Schizosaccharomyces pombe: one gene and its partners. Changing the gene in region 3 together with the main gene of any one other region gives a genetic interaction. Each region holds a gene or a part of one and is shown on either strand. Other genes may lie near its edges.

What was found. Genes that interact genetically often act in the same process or in processes that back each other up.
Region 1: of ecm33 (region 3) and aah3, extra expression of one rescues a mutant of the other (dosage rescue), as found in Schizosaccharomyces pombe (one study listed by BioGRID).
Region 2: of ecm33 (region 3) and ubi1, extra expression of one rescues a mutant of the other (dosage rescue), as found in Schizosaccharomyces pombe (one study listed by BioGRID).

What each region holds. Positions count from the first base shown.
Region 1 is NC_003421.2:833,027-837,822, forward strand, and holds aah3 (GPI-anchored glycosyl hydrolase family 13 protein), read right to left. Parts: upstream 3,003-4,796; 5' UTR 2,635-3,002; coding exon 940-2,634; 3' UTR 555-939; downstream 1-554. Other genes in the region: mib1 (DNAJC11 family protein), read left to right, coding at 4,579-4,632, 4,694-4,796. UniProt on the Schizosaccharomyces pombe protein: Has a role in cell wall biosynthesis where it is involved in maintaining cell wall strength and shape.
Region 2 is NC_003424.3:3,967,429-3,970,112, reverse strand, and holds ubi1 (ubiquitin-60S ribosomal protein L40 fusion protein), read right to left. Parts: upstream 1,118-2,684; 5' UTR 1,105-1,117; coding exon 718-1,104; 3' UTR 555-717; downstream 1-554. Other genes in the region: S-malonyltransferase Mct1, read left to right, coding at 1-280; isocitrate dehydrogenase (NAD+) subunit 1 Idh1, read right to left, coding at 2,208-2,684.
Region 3 is NC_003424.3:1,569,075-1,573,528, reverse strand, and holds ecm33 (extracellular leucine-rich repeat domain, receptor L domain-like Ecm33), read left to right. Parts: upstream 1-1,939; 5' UTR 1,940-2,268; coding exon 2,269-3,534; 3' UTR 3,535-3,916; downstream 3,917-4,454. Other genes in the region: SPOM_SPAC1705.02 (uncharacterized protein), read right to left, coding at 4,226-4,313, 4,369-4,454.

The sequences.
Region 1 (4,796 bases), on a different chromosome or scaffold from region 3:
TAAAAATATTTTTCAGTTCACTTTTAAAGAATTAAACGAGTGATCCAGTTACTCTAAGATGATTACAACGTTTAGTATCAGAATCTCAGGTAAGGTCTCCAGACAAAACGAATACTGCCTGTTCGACAAAGATCGCTCCACACAGTATCTGCTAGCTTACAATTATTCTCCTTCTCCTGTTAATTTAGCAGTTGAAACACAACATGTAAACAATAGCAAATTACGCGGTCGTTTAGGTTAAAGACATCTGAAGGTCCCAAAAGTTCGAACTTTTTAGTAACTACTGGTTACCTTTATCCAAGAACAAAACTTTCTTTAATTACAAATGGAATATGAATACGGGTCCGTGGAATGGGGAATTTTAGAAATGTTCAATGATTGTAACGTAAACCAATGTTAAGTAACACCTGCAATTATGTGACTTTTCCATCAAAAAACTATTAAATTTAAATGAAAGCGTTAGAAAAGAATATAAGTTTAAGTACAAATTTTATGAGCTTATGGTGATATTGGATGACCTACACCTTAATATACTAACAACATGTCTACTCGATAAATTTTTTTATTTTTACTTACCAATGTAAGCAAATGTTTTTGATGTAAAGCGAAACTACGCATAAGAACTGTACTTTTTCATTTGGTTGTTAAAAAATGCAATATTACTTTTCATTGACTATTCCACTAGGCAGATAATTTTTTTCATTTCTGCTCCAAGACAATAGATATGCCAGTTTAAAAGATATGTATGATAAAAAAAGGTTTACAAAGACAAATAATAACAAGTGAGAGATTAAAGCATCAGAACAAGAATAAGCTGTAGGCATAAATTAACTCATTCTCATTATATGGTTATTAGATTCAACCCAAAAAATGACCTTCCTTGACGAAAAAAACGCAAATTGTTAAAATTTTAAAAATTAACGCGGTTATTTGGGCATTCTAGAAGAATAAAACAAAGAGCATTGCGGTAACACCCAAGCCAAAAACTAAAGTCTTGAAAGAAAGGATAAGTCTAGATGATGAAGAGATCGTAAATATACTACCAGTACCAGTAAATGATCTGGCAGAATAAGAAGGAGAGTAATAAGAGGTATAGACAGTGGTTGTGGCAGTTGCCGATGTAGATGGCATGACTGTACGATTGACAGTTGGTAATGTAAAACCAGACATCTTCGAATGTGGATACATAATCAAGGGATATCCGTTGGTCATACTGGCAGTCAAGGTTTTATCGGCACCAACGGTTAAAGTTCTGTGACCGAAGACATCAGAGACTACTTCATTGGCAGTGTAATTCGTCTCAACTTCATAAATTGTAAGGTTGTTGGTAACTCCCATATTATTGAACATGACGAGAACATCATTTTTTTGTCCAACATAGTGATCAACAGCAGATTCGATCGATTGATATGTGGAAGTGACCCAATCCGGATCCTGAGTAATGACAAACTTTCTAAATGCAACCATCGTTTTAATAACGGTATAGTACGGGTTTGATTGATCGTAATCAGTAAGCCAAAGTGCAGGACGATTAGCAGGATCCTCACCACCATTGAATCCCTGTTCTTGTCCGTAGAAAATTGAGGGTATGCCGTCCCAAATCAACACAAATGACAAAGCCCCCATAATCTGTGACTGGTCACTTGTGTAATAAGGAAATCTGTACAAATCGTGATTTTCGATAAAAGTCAACATTAAAGTACTATCATATTTTGAACAGTTTGAAGCCATTACCTCCTGGTAAGTGGGAATAAGAGTGAATCCAGCACCAGTAGCAGTAAAAGAGAAGTTTATGTACAACTGCAAAAAGTAATTGGTAACTCCAGGAAGGACACTCATGTAACTACACATAGTATCAGGATCATAAGAGAAAACTTCACCAACGCTGTAAACACCCGTAGCATCAACGAAATCAGGAAAGAATGTGTAGTTCATCATTTTCACAGCATCAATACGCAGTCCATCAAAATCGTATTTAGAAATAAGACTTTTGAAATGATCACTCAAATAGGAAGAAACGTCTGAACTTTCGACATCCAAATCGGCCAACAATACACCAGAATCTTGCCAACAATCCATTACGTTCGTCTCATTATCTGTGATATCCCAATCAATAAGACAGTACGGATGGAAGTAGCTCTCCTTGTTAAAAGGATTAAGAGATGAATAGTCAGCATCTGCTAGCGGAGGAGCAAGTGCCATAGAATTGACGATACTATCCAACATTACCCAGATACCCGCTTTATGAGCAGCAGTAATAAGGCTAACTAAATCATCTTCTGTACCAAAGTGTTCATTGAGGGACTCATAATCAGTGTTCCAATAGCCGTGATAAGCATAACCAGCACCGTCGATATCTCCTTCAATATTTTTATCAATGGGAGATATCCAAATCGCATTGAAACCCATATCCTCGATGTAATCCAGTTTGTTCTCGATACCCTTCCAGGTACCACCACAATACTGGTTTGCATCCGGATCACATGGATTATCCGTGCTTCCATCATCAACCGCGAAACGATCCGTCAAAATTTGATAAATAATACGTTTGCGCCACTCAGCATTACTACCAGCATTAGCAACATGAATGAGGGCGCTTGAAAGAAATAGGAGAACAAAATAAACACCAAACATGCTAAAAAAAGGTATCAAGGGGTATTTAAGCCAAGACGACTAAAAGAAAGAAGTTTGGGAGAGCACAAAAAAAATTATGTTTTGTAAAAGTTAATGATATGAGCCAAATCCCACCAAAAAGAATGACAATAAAATACTAATAATAAAGGAGTGGAAATTGTGGGTCAAGAAATTATCAATGCAGTACCAGTATTGAATAAACAAAAATCTATGAAGAAAGAAAGCGGAAGTGCAAGAGCCGACTTTACGTCGAATGAAGGGACCACGTTAAAATTTTTCAAATGTACGTCCGAATTGACGCTAGTCTCCTTAGAAACCTTCGTTTTCTTGCAAAAGATTGTAAAACCTGTTTAGCGGTGTAGTTTGTTGAAGGATGGATACGCTGGTAGCAACAAAATACTAGGCGTAGGTAAACAATCTAATATATCAGCGTTCGAATCCGGCTGCCATCACATTTTATTTAACCCGTTTAGCAAATAGATGAGGTGCTTAATCAACAATAACGACGACAACCTCTGAGCTTCACGAATATGCTAAATTTATAGCGCTTCACTAAATCGTATACCGGTTCGCGCTAAATAAAAACTGATGCTTAAATTCAAATTTCTGTGTTAGTAAAAGAGCAGATAAAGCGAGGATAAAAATGTAGGATGTTGATTAAGACTCTAAATAGAGTAGCGCAGAGAATAATACTAAATACTGAAAGACCGATCCCGTTAAACTAATATCAAATCCATAGCATCAAACAGAGGTTTGTATTATGTATCCTATGAACTATCCTCATCAATAATTGCTTATTATAATATAACATAAACATATACAACTTTCGTGTAACTAGCCAAGGACTACTATAAGTAATATGGTTTATTCATACAATGCTAGTTCCTATACCTATAGAAATTCGTTTCCTGCTGAGCTTATTTTAAGCTATGGGTAAGCGAGTCAAAAACCAAAGACGCTATTTGTAAAATGGCAAACGAAATTAGGTATTCTTGTTTTAATTATAAGCTTAAGAGACATTTGACATCTCGTTGGTAGTAATAGAAACTTGTTTTTTAACTTGTTCCATTCGCTTTAATGATAGCTGCACTGCCCTTGGTACTTTATTCTTGAAACTTTTTAGATTTTTTATATATCACAAAGCTTTTTCTAGTTCACCATTCTCAATTTTAGTGCTTCCTTAATCTAATAGTTGGTTTTGTACGCTGAATTGGTTTCGCATTTAAAAGTGCATTAGTACGTTTTTGAGAATCAAGTATAAGACATTTCAAGTAAATTGAAAAATTCCTGTCAGTAATACTTTATATCTAAGTCAAATGGTGTCATCTGATAATAAAATCCCTCAACAGTATTATTTATCAAACGAAAAATGTCATTAGTCATGAAAAGCTTCATTCGCTTATTTGTTTTGAAATTAAGAATGAAAGTTATGACTACATATCAATTCATTAAGCTGATATCTTTAGTATGCAATCCATTATTTTATACCATCTCCACTTTTTGTAAATCATTAAACATAATATCTAAAGCCAATTTAGCATTATTCAAATTCGAGACTTATTATTTTAAGTTTGTCTTAGAATTTCATAGTTTGCAAACTGTGTAAAATGAAATACGCATGGGTTTGGCAATTATACAAAAAGCTGCTCCCGAGCACAATTAGTTTAACTAGTAAACTCATGCTTTTCGAAATGGCATCAAAGCCAAGATAATTTGATCATATAAAGTTTTATTATTTAAAAGTTCCTATATTAAAATACTGCTATAGCTCACTCTAATCCTACAACCTACATCAAACTTTACATTACCTTGGTCACTTATAGTGAGCACATACCTTGATCATACATATGTCTGCACGATCCATACTCTAATCTGTGGTTTCTGAAAATTTACACGTAAATTAAGATAATTTGAAGTAATTTATTTTAAAATAAAAGATTAGTCATGGATGAAGCGGATTCTTGGGAGCTTTATTTGGCTCTTGGACTTCCCAAAGATGTAAGTATAAATAATCTCATTTGGGAATGCATATTTTATTAACATTTCCTTTAAACTCTAGGCTACAAGTGACCAAATAAAAGAATCATATTACAGACTATCAAGACTGTTTCATCCTGATCGTCACACTGCTGACCAGAAGGCAGCAGCTGAGGAAAAGTTTC
Region 2 (2,684 bases), 2.4 Mb from region 3:
GGAAACAGAATTTAATATTTCTCCAGAACTCTGTTATACGGATTCTGGTAAGCGCTTTTTACCCATCATATCTAATGTCACAGCTGAGCTTTATCCAGCTGATGAAGAGGATATAAGGAGACAATTATTGCTACAGTGTTTTCGTCCTGTTTTATTTAAAAATTGCCTCAAAACAGTCAAAAGCAAATATGGAGCCAACTTATTTTATGCATATGGTCCTGGGACTACGATGCAATCAATAGCAAAGCAGAATGGAATTTCCACCAAGTCTCGTCCATGAGGACTTTTCGAAGCGAGTAGTTAAAAATTAGCCTTTCTACTGTAATTCCATTAATTTTTTTCCTTTTACCTAGTCAGTCATGATGTTGCTCATTTGTATACATGATCTTTTGGCATTCTGACAAGAGTTAGAATAATTACAGGAATGCATATCGTCTAACATAACATTTTAAAGCTATGCACAATCAAATGCATCACCATCAATTTAAATGATACTGTAATCGTTAACAACAAATACTATCCACACTACAATAGCTCCACATTCTTACAAAGGATACAGTTTTAAGACAAGTATTTTTTATTGCTCGAATTTTGCTACACTACAGTGAATTTCACATGTTTACATCCGTGTAATCCAAAATATTCTTAATATTTCTTTATCTGTAAAGTTACCAAGACAGAAATAACAAGAACACGAAATACCCCAAAAGAAATAATCTATTTGAGCTTCTTCTTGGGACGAAGTTGGTTGGTGTGACCACACTTCTTCTTGCGGCAGTTGGTAGCACGGGGAGGAAGACGGGCATAGCACTTACGGCAGATTTGCTTTTCGCAGTTGTATTTGGAAGCCAAAGCCTTTAGAGAGGGCTCAATGATACCACCACGAAGACGGAGAACTAAATGAAGGGTAGACTCCTTTTGAATGTTGTAGTCAGAAAGAGTACGGCCATCCTCTAATTGCTTTCCAGCGAAGATAAGACGTTGTTGGTCAGGAGGAATTCCTTCCTTGTCTTGGATTTTGCTCTTGACATTGTCAATAGTGTCAGAGGACTCCACCTCAAGGGTGATAGTCTTTCCGGTCAAAGTCTTGACGAAAATCTGCATGATTGTGGTGGACAAAGGATTCCTTCTTCACTGAAAGCACCGTAAGAGCCCTTACCGAAAAAAGCAGTCACGTTTAGTGCGTCCTCTAGCGGTGGACATTAATTTCTTAGCACAAATTCAGTAAAATATTATAACGCATAGTAAAATACTATGGTATATTTTGTAGTCTGGTAGAAGATATGGCTATTGTTGAGAAATTTTTGACGATAAATGGTCTCCTAATTTTTGGATATATTGATAGGCATTAGGAGGAGCCGGCATCCTTCGATTAGCCTATATAGAAATGTTGCGCATATTGTTAGTTGAACCTAAGAACGACGATAGTTGCAAAGGTCGCTTACACAACTGGAATATAAATGACTTCGAAGGTTGGAGATAAGTTAAGTAATGTGTTTGAACTAACCTTTTACTACTTTAAAAGACACATCTTTCACATTTAAGGGCTGTGCATTGCTGTTATCGACATAGATAGATGAATGTGTAAATCTACATGAATAGACTGTGAACCACTATGTTAATCTAAATCCTGTTAAAGATTATTAAATTATTCTTTAAGAGTATTCATAACTAAATTTTAAAAATAAAACTTGGGTTTTAGGAAACTAATTACCATCCTCTATCTTTCTGGAAAATCGACGTATCTAGCAATTGTGATTATTAGAGGAGGCACAATGGAAATTATCAAACCTTTTTCGTTCCAAAATTGACTAATCAGGCATTTATGCTATAAAAAGTAGAATTCCATAATTTACATCAAATACAAAGTAATAAGGACGAACAAACCAGACACTACAAAGTATGGAAAATCCACACAAAAATGAAATTAAAATATCAATCATATTCGGAACGTACGTAAGAAAAATTCATCATCTTCTTGTCAGGCAGGAGTTCCTTGCCGACGGAAGAGGTGTTATCATAACTGATAGAAGACGTAAATATCAAAAAAAGCTTCCGAAACGTTTCAACTTACTTAGAGAAAAGGAGTAGTAACATGAGCGTCAAAATTGTAGTTGACACGGCTAAAAGCCTAAGACTTCAATAGCTTTCATTACACTCATTAACAGGAGGGTATATCATTTAAAAGGAAGGGGGGAATAATTAAATTATAAGCTTTCCATTCTTTCTAAAATGGCATGCGTGAAATCACCAGTGGAAGCCGAACCACCCAAGTCTTTGGTCAGGGTTTTACCCTCTTCAATGACAGAATAAGTAGCGGCATTGATAAGATCAGCATAATCTTTTAGGCCTAAATGACGAAGCATCAAGCAAGCGCTAAGGATGGCAGCTGTAGGATTGGCTTCCCCACGTCCAGTAATACTTAAACCAACATGACGGCAACCAGGCTCGAATAGAGCATAGTCACGACCAAAATTGGCACCTGGAATGACACCGGGGCCACCGACCAAAGCACTTCCAATGTTGCTAAGAATGCTACCGTACAAGTTCGGCATCACTAAAACATCGAATTGCTGGGGACGAGAAACAGCCTGCATGGAGGCATTGTCGACAATTAAATCCTTAGGAGTAATAGCGTCGTAACCGTTAGCAACGTCGTAAAACGTCCTTCGAAAGAGACCGTC
Region 3 (4,454 bases):
TATAGCCTGTATGCAAGGATACGAAATTTTAAATAAATAAAAAAAAGCGCGGCTCAGATAAATTAAAGATATACTTTGTGTATTAAAAATCAATTTCTTTTATAATCGCAGCGATTAACTACTAACTCACGTCACACAAGAGAACAAATAAAAAAAATAAAAAAAAAATAAAAAGGTTCCAAATAGCAAAACAGTCTTAAATGAGTGCTTTACTCAATTTGTATAACGGGCATCTCCATCAGACTACAACGCCGCTTTTTACTTGAATATTTGGACGGTAATTATGATTACACTACGAATGTAAAAAATAGGCAAGTTACAGTAATCAAAGTTAAATTTTTAATATGAGTTGATGTGTAATCGCTCCTATAAGATTACTTCGAGATAGAAGGTAAAGGAATTTATAAAAACCATGACGGAACTAATCACCTTAAGATGCTTTTTAACAAGTACCCGAAATCTCTGGAGTTAATCATTTCAACTTTGTGTAATAAATGATGCAAGCATTCTACTGACTTAATATTCATATACATTCAACAGTCTAGCTTACAGTGCACATGTATAGCAAAAAAACATTTTATGTTTCAGCATACATTTTATTACCTTGGAGTACTAGCTTCTAAATACAATACATATTCTCCAATTAGGGCATTTATTCTAGATCAATATTTAAAATATCCACATTCATATTCTATTCCTAAATCATGCACAGTAGTCTAGAATTGTTCAACCTTCAACAATGATTAAATAATTTTCTGAAGCAAATCATCCTAGACAGTGGAAGATAATATAGCTTATTCACAAAAAAAATAAACATAAAATCAACTTAAAAATCATTTATGCCTTTCAACATTATTTCTGATTAAACTGTATTGCCAAAATAATTTTGTAGACTGTTGTTTGCTATTTCTTAAAATATTGAACAAATTTGAATAATCAAGTAGTTTTTTTCTCACTCAGTGCATCAAAAATGGGAAATATAAATTACTTAAGTTTTAAAGTAATAACTGGATGTCACACAAAGATGAAATACACAAAGGCCAAAATAATCATCGAAACTACAAGAAGTTAAAAAGTAACAGGTAAATGCTTCTGAAGTACAGTACAGTTCAGTCTAGTCAATCAGTTGAATACCGGTATGACCTTTGCAATCTTTTCTCCTTCAACTTGCTAAGCATATCCACTGCGCCTCTACTTCTCTACAGCACGGTAAATACTTTGTTTACATGACTAAATAAATCTGTTTACACTGCAGATGGACAGATCGTTGCTGCGGTAACGGTAATTGTCAGTAAACAAATGTCTGAAACCATTTACGGAAACGTAAATACCGTTGCATATGAGCGAAAAATAAACAAGATTAGCATAGCTGGAAGAAGCATTTTCTATACCAAATAATATTTATGATTTTCTGCTTTTTTCTAGTATAAAAAAATCCTACCTCTTCAGAGATCTGGTGACTGTTATTTTTCACTAAAACAAACAAGTGATGTCACGTTTAAAAGCCCGTGAATGTGACTTTTTAAGGGTCAAACACTGCGGTTTGTGTCTCTCCCTTTAAATGTTTATGCGATGAATAACCTTAAAACCAAAGCTGGAATACAAATGAAGTTTTGACAGAAAATACAGCATTGTTTACATTGAGTGTTTACAATTCTCAATCTGTAAAGAGTCGAACGCCTTGTTGTCATGCCAATGTGTTTAACGAGAGTCAAATTACTCGTAAACGTACAAGTTTAGCCAATAAACGGTCTTCAAAGTTTGGTCGCAAGCTCCTCGTTGGTGTTGTGGCCTAGCAACCAGCAATACACAATTACTCATTGTTTACAGTAAACATTGCAACGAAATTGCGCACCTCGTTGTCCCCCTTTTTATCTAACAAGTCACAATTCTTTGCATTTTCCGGGTATATATAGATGTCTTTTCCGCAACTCGCTTCATCCTCAGCGAACTACATTTGAGTTTTAAACACTCTTTTACTTCTTTATTCATTACCCACGCATTCATTTATAAAACATATCATATATATTACCCGTAATATATAGCATATACCTTTTATAAATACCCGCTATTCTGCATATCTTTTGTGGTCAATCTCTGTCTTTTTGATTATTACTACGTTTCCCCTTATAAACGCATTTTACATATTTGTCCTCTTTCTCTTTTGATTTAACAAATTTACCTTCATATTCCCTTTTTGCATCCTAAAAACTATCTTTCGTTATATTTTTCCAATCATATTTCTACATTATATAGTCTAAAGTCAATATGTTGTTCAAATCATTCGCTCTCACTCTTCTTTTCGCCGCAGCTCGCGTACAAGCTGCTTCCAACTGCTCCAGCGGCCCTTACAATATCTCCGCCCAAGGTACTCTTGACGAGCTTAACAGCTGTACTGTATTGAATGGTGATTTGTACATTTCTGATGCTGGTAACTCTGGCATCACCACCCTTACTGTTAATGGAATTGAGTCCGTTCAAGGTGATGTTGTGGTTTCTGATGGTCAATATTTGACCTCTCTTTCCTTCCCTTCTTTGAAAAACGTTTCTGGTGCTTTTAACGTTAACAACATGATCCGCATGAACAACCTTGCTACCCCTGAGCTCACTTCGGTTGGAAGCCTAAATCTTGCTGTTTTACCAAACTTACAGGAGCTTCAATTTAACGCTGGTCTTTCCGATTCTGATAGTGTCGTAATTGATGACACTCAACTTCAAGCTATTGACGGTATCAGTTTGGATTCCGTCACTACTTTCCAAGTAACCAACAATCGTTATATTCAGGAGATCACCATGGAGGGCCTCGAAAGTGCTCAAAATATCCAGATTTCCGCTAACTCTAAGGGTGTAAGCGTAAACTTCAGTAAACTTTCTAACGTTACCACTGCTACTTTTGATGGTATCAGCAACGTCTTTATTGGTAACTTGAAGAGTGCTGCTGGTAACTTGTATTTCTCTAACACTACTCTGGATAACATTTCGGTTCCTTACCTTACCGAAATCGGACAAAGTTTTGCTGTTTTGTACTCTCCTGAGCTTACTTCCCTCAACTTCCCTAACCTTACCACTGTTGGTGGTGGTTTCGTTATTAACGATACTGGTTTGACTTCTATTGATGGTTTCCCCGTCATCTCTGAAATTGGTGGTGGTTTAGTTCTTCTCGGTAACTTCTCAAGCATTGATATGCCTGATTTGAGTGATGTGAAGGGTGCTCTCACTGTCGAGACTAAGGCTACCAATTTCACTTGCCCTTGGTCCAATGATGACAGTGTTATTAAGGGTGATGATTTCACTTGCCAAGGTAGTGTTGCTACCATTTCTGCTACTAGTTCTTATGATTTGTCTTCCACTGTCTCTGCTACTAGTGGATCTGCCACATCTGCCACTGGTTCTGCTACCACCACTTCATACTCTTCTGATTCTTCTGCATCTTCCTCTTCCTCTTCCTCCCATGAAAGCTCAGCCGCTTCTAACGGCTTCACTGCTGGTGCTTTAGTTTTGGGATCTCTTTTGGTTGCTGCTCTTGCTATGTAAGTGTCGTCATGAACAATTTGTTACTTTTTTTATCGAAAGTATAGAAAATTAATATTTGAATGTTACCGATACTTATTTGGCGAGATGAGCTGGCTTATCTCTGGTGATGTGGGTTACTGAAATGTTTATTAATACAGGCCGTTTTATTTTCTTCTTTATAATCGGGTGTGATTAAACATATATCTTTAGAAGAGATTAACTTCTATATGATCTTAGAAAAGTGTTGAGAAGGTTTGATGTTCCTTTTCTTTAATTTGAGCTTTAAATTATTTATATGAGTTGCTCTTAGGCTATTTTCAAAGTTATTGATTTTGCCTTTTTTATAATTAGTCTATCGAATATTTGCATTTAGTATATCTTGAATTTGATTTTTTTAATTTTTAATACAAGGCGCGCGGTAGTTAGTAATAAAATAATTTGATTGGCAAAGATGAGACATAAGGCGTATGATATGCATAACCGAGAGTTAAGAAATTACGAGTAAATGATTAAGTAACTTAATGGGATGTTATTATAGATTGCAAGACTACCGAGTTTATTTACTCTTTACTTAGAAATATAGATTTTATTGTTTTTATCAAAATAGAGGTAAAATTGAAGAAAAATAACAGAATAAAGAGCCAATGTACTGTGGAAAAACACCACTTAAAAGGATGGAATAAACTGCCCTTTAACAAAATTTCGAATATAGTTATTTTTTTCCTTTTGAGCCACCGTTGGCTTCCGCTGCCTTGCGCTCATCAGCTGCACGTTGTTTAGCACGCATAATTTCAGCTTGACTTAAAATATTAGCTAATTGGTTTTTAAACAAAATCCTGATTCCATTCCACTTACGCTTCAAGACGTTTGGTAGGATCTCCGGCTTGTTTCTTTTTAGAAGCTTGAGACTTCTTTAAATTGCGAGCACGGTCAACATCACG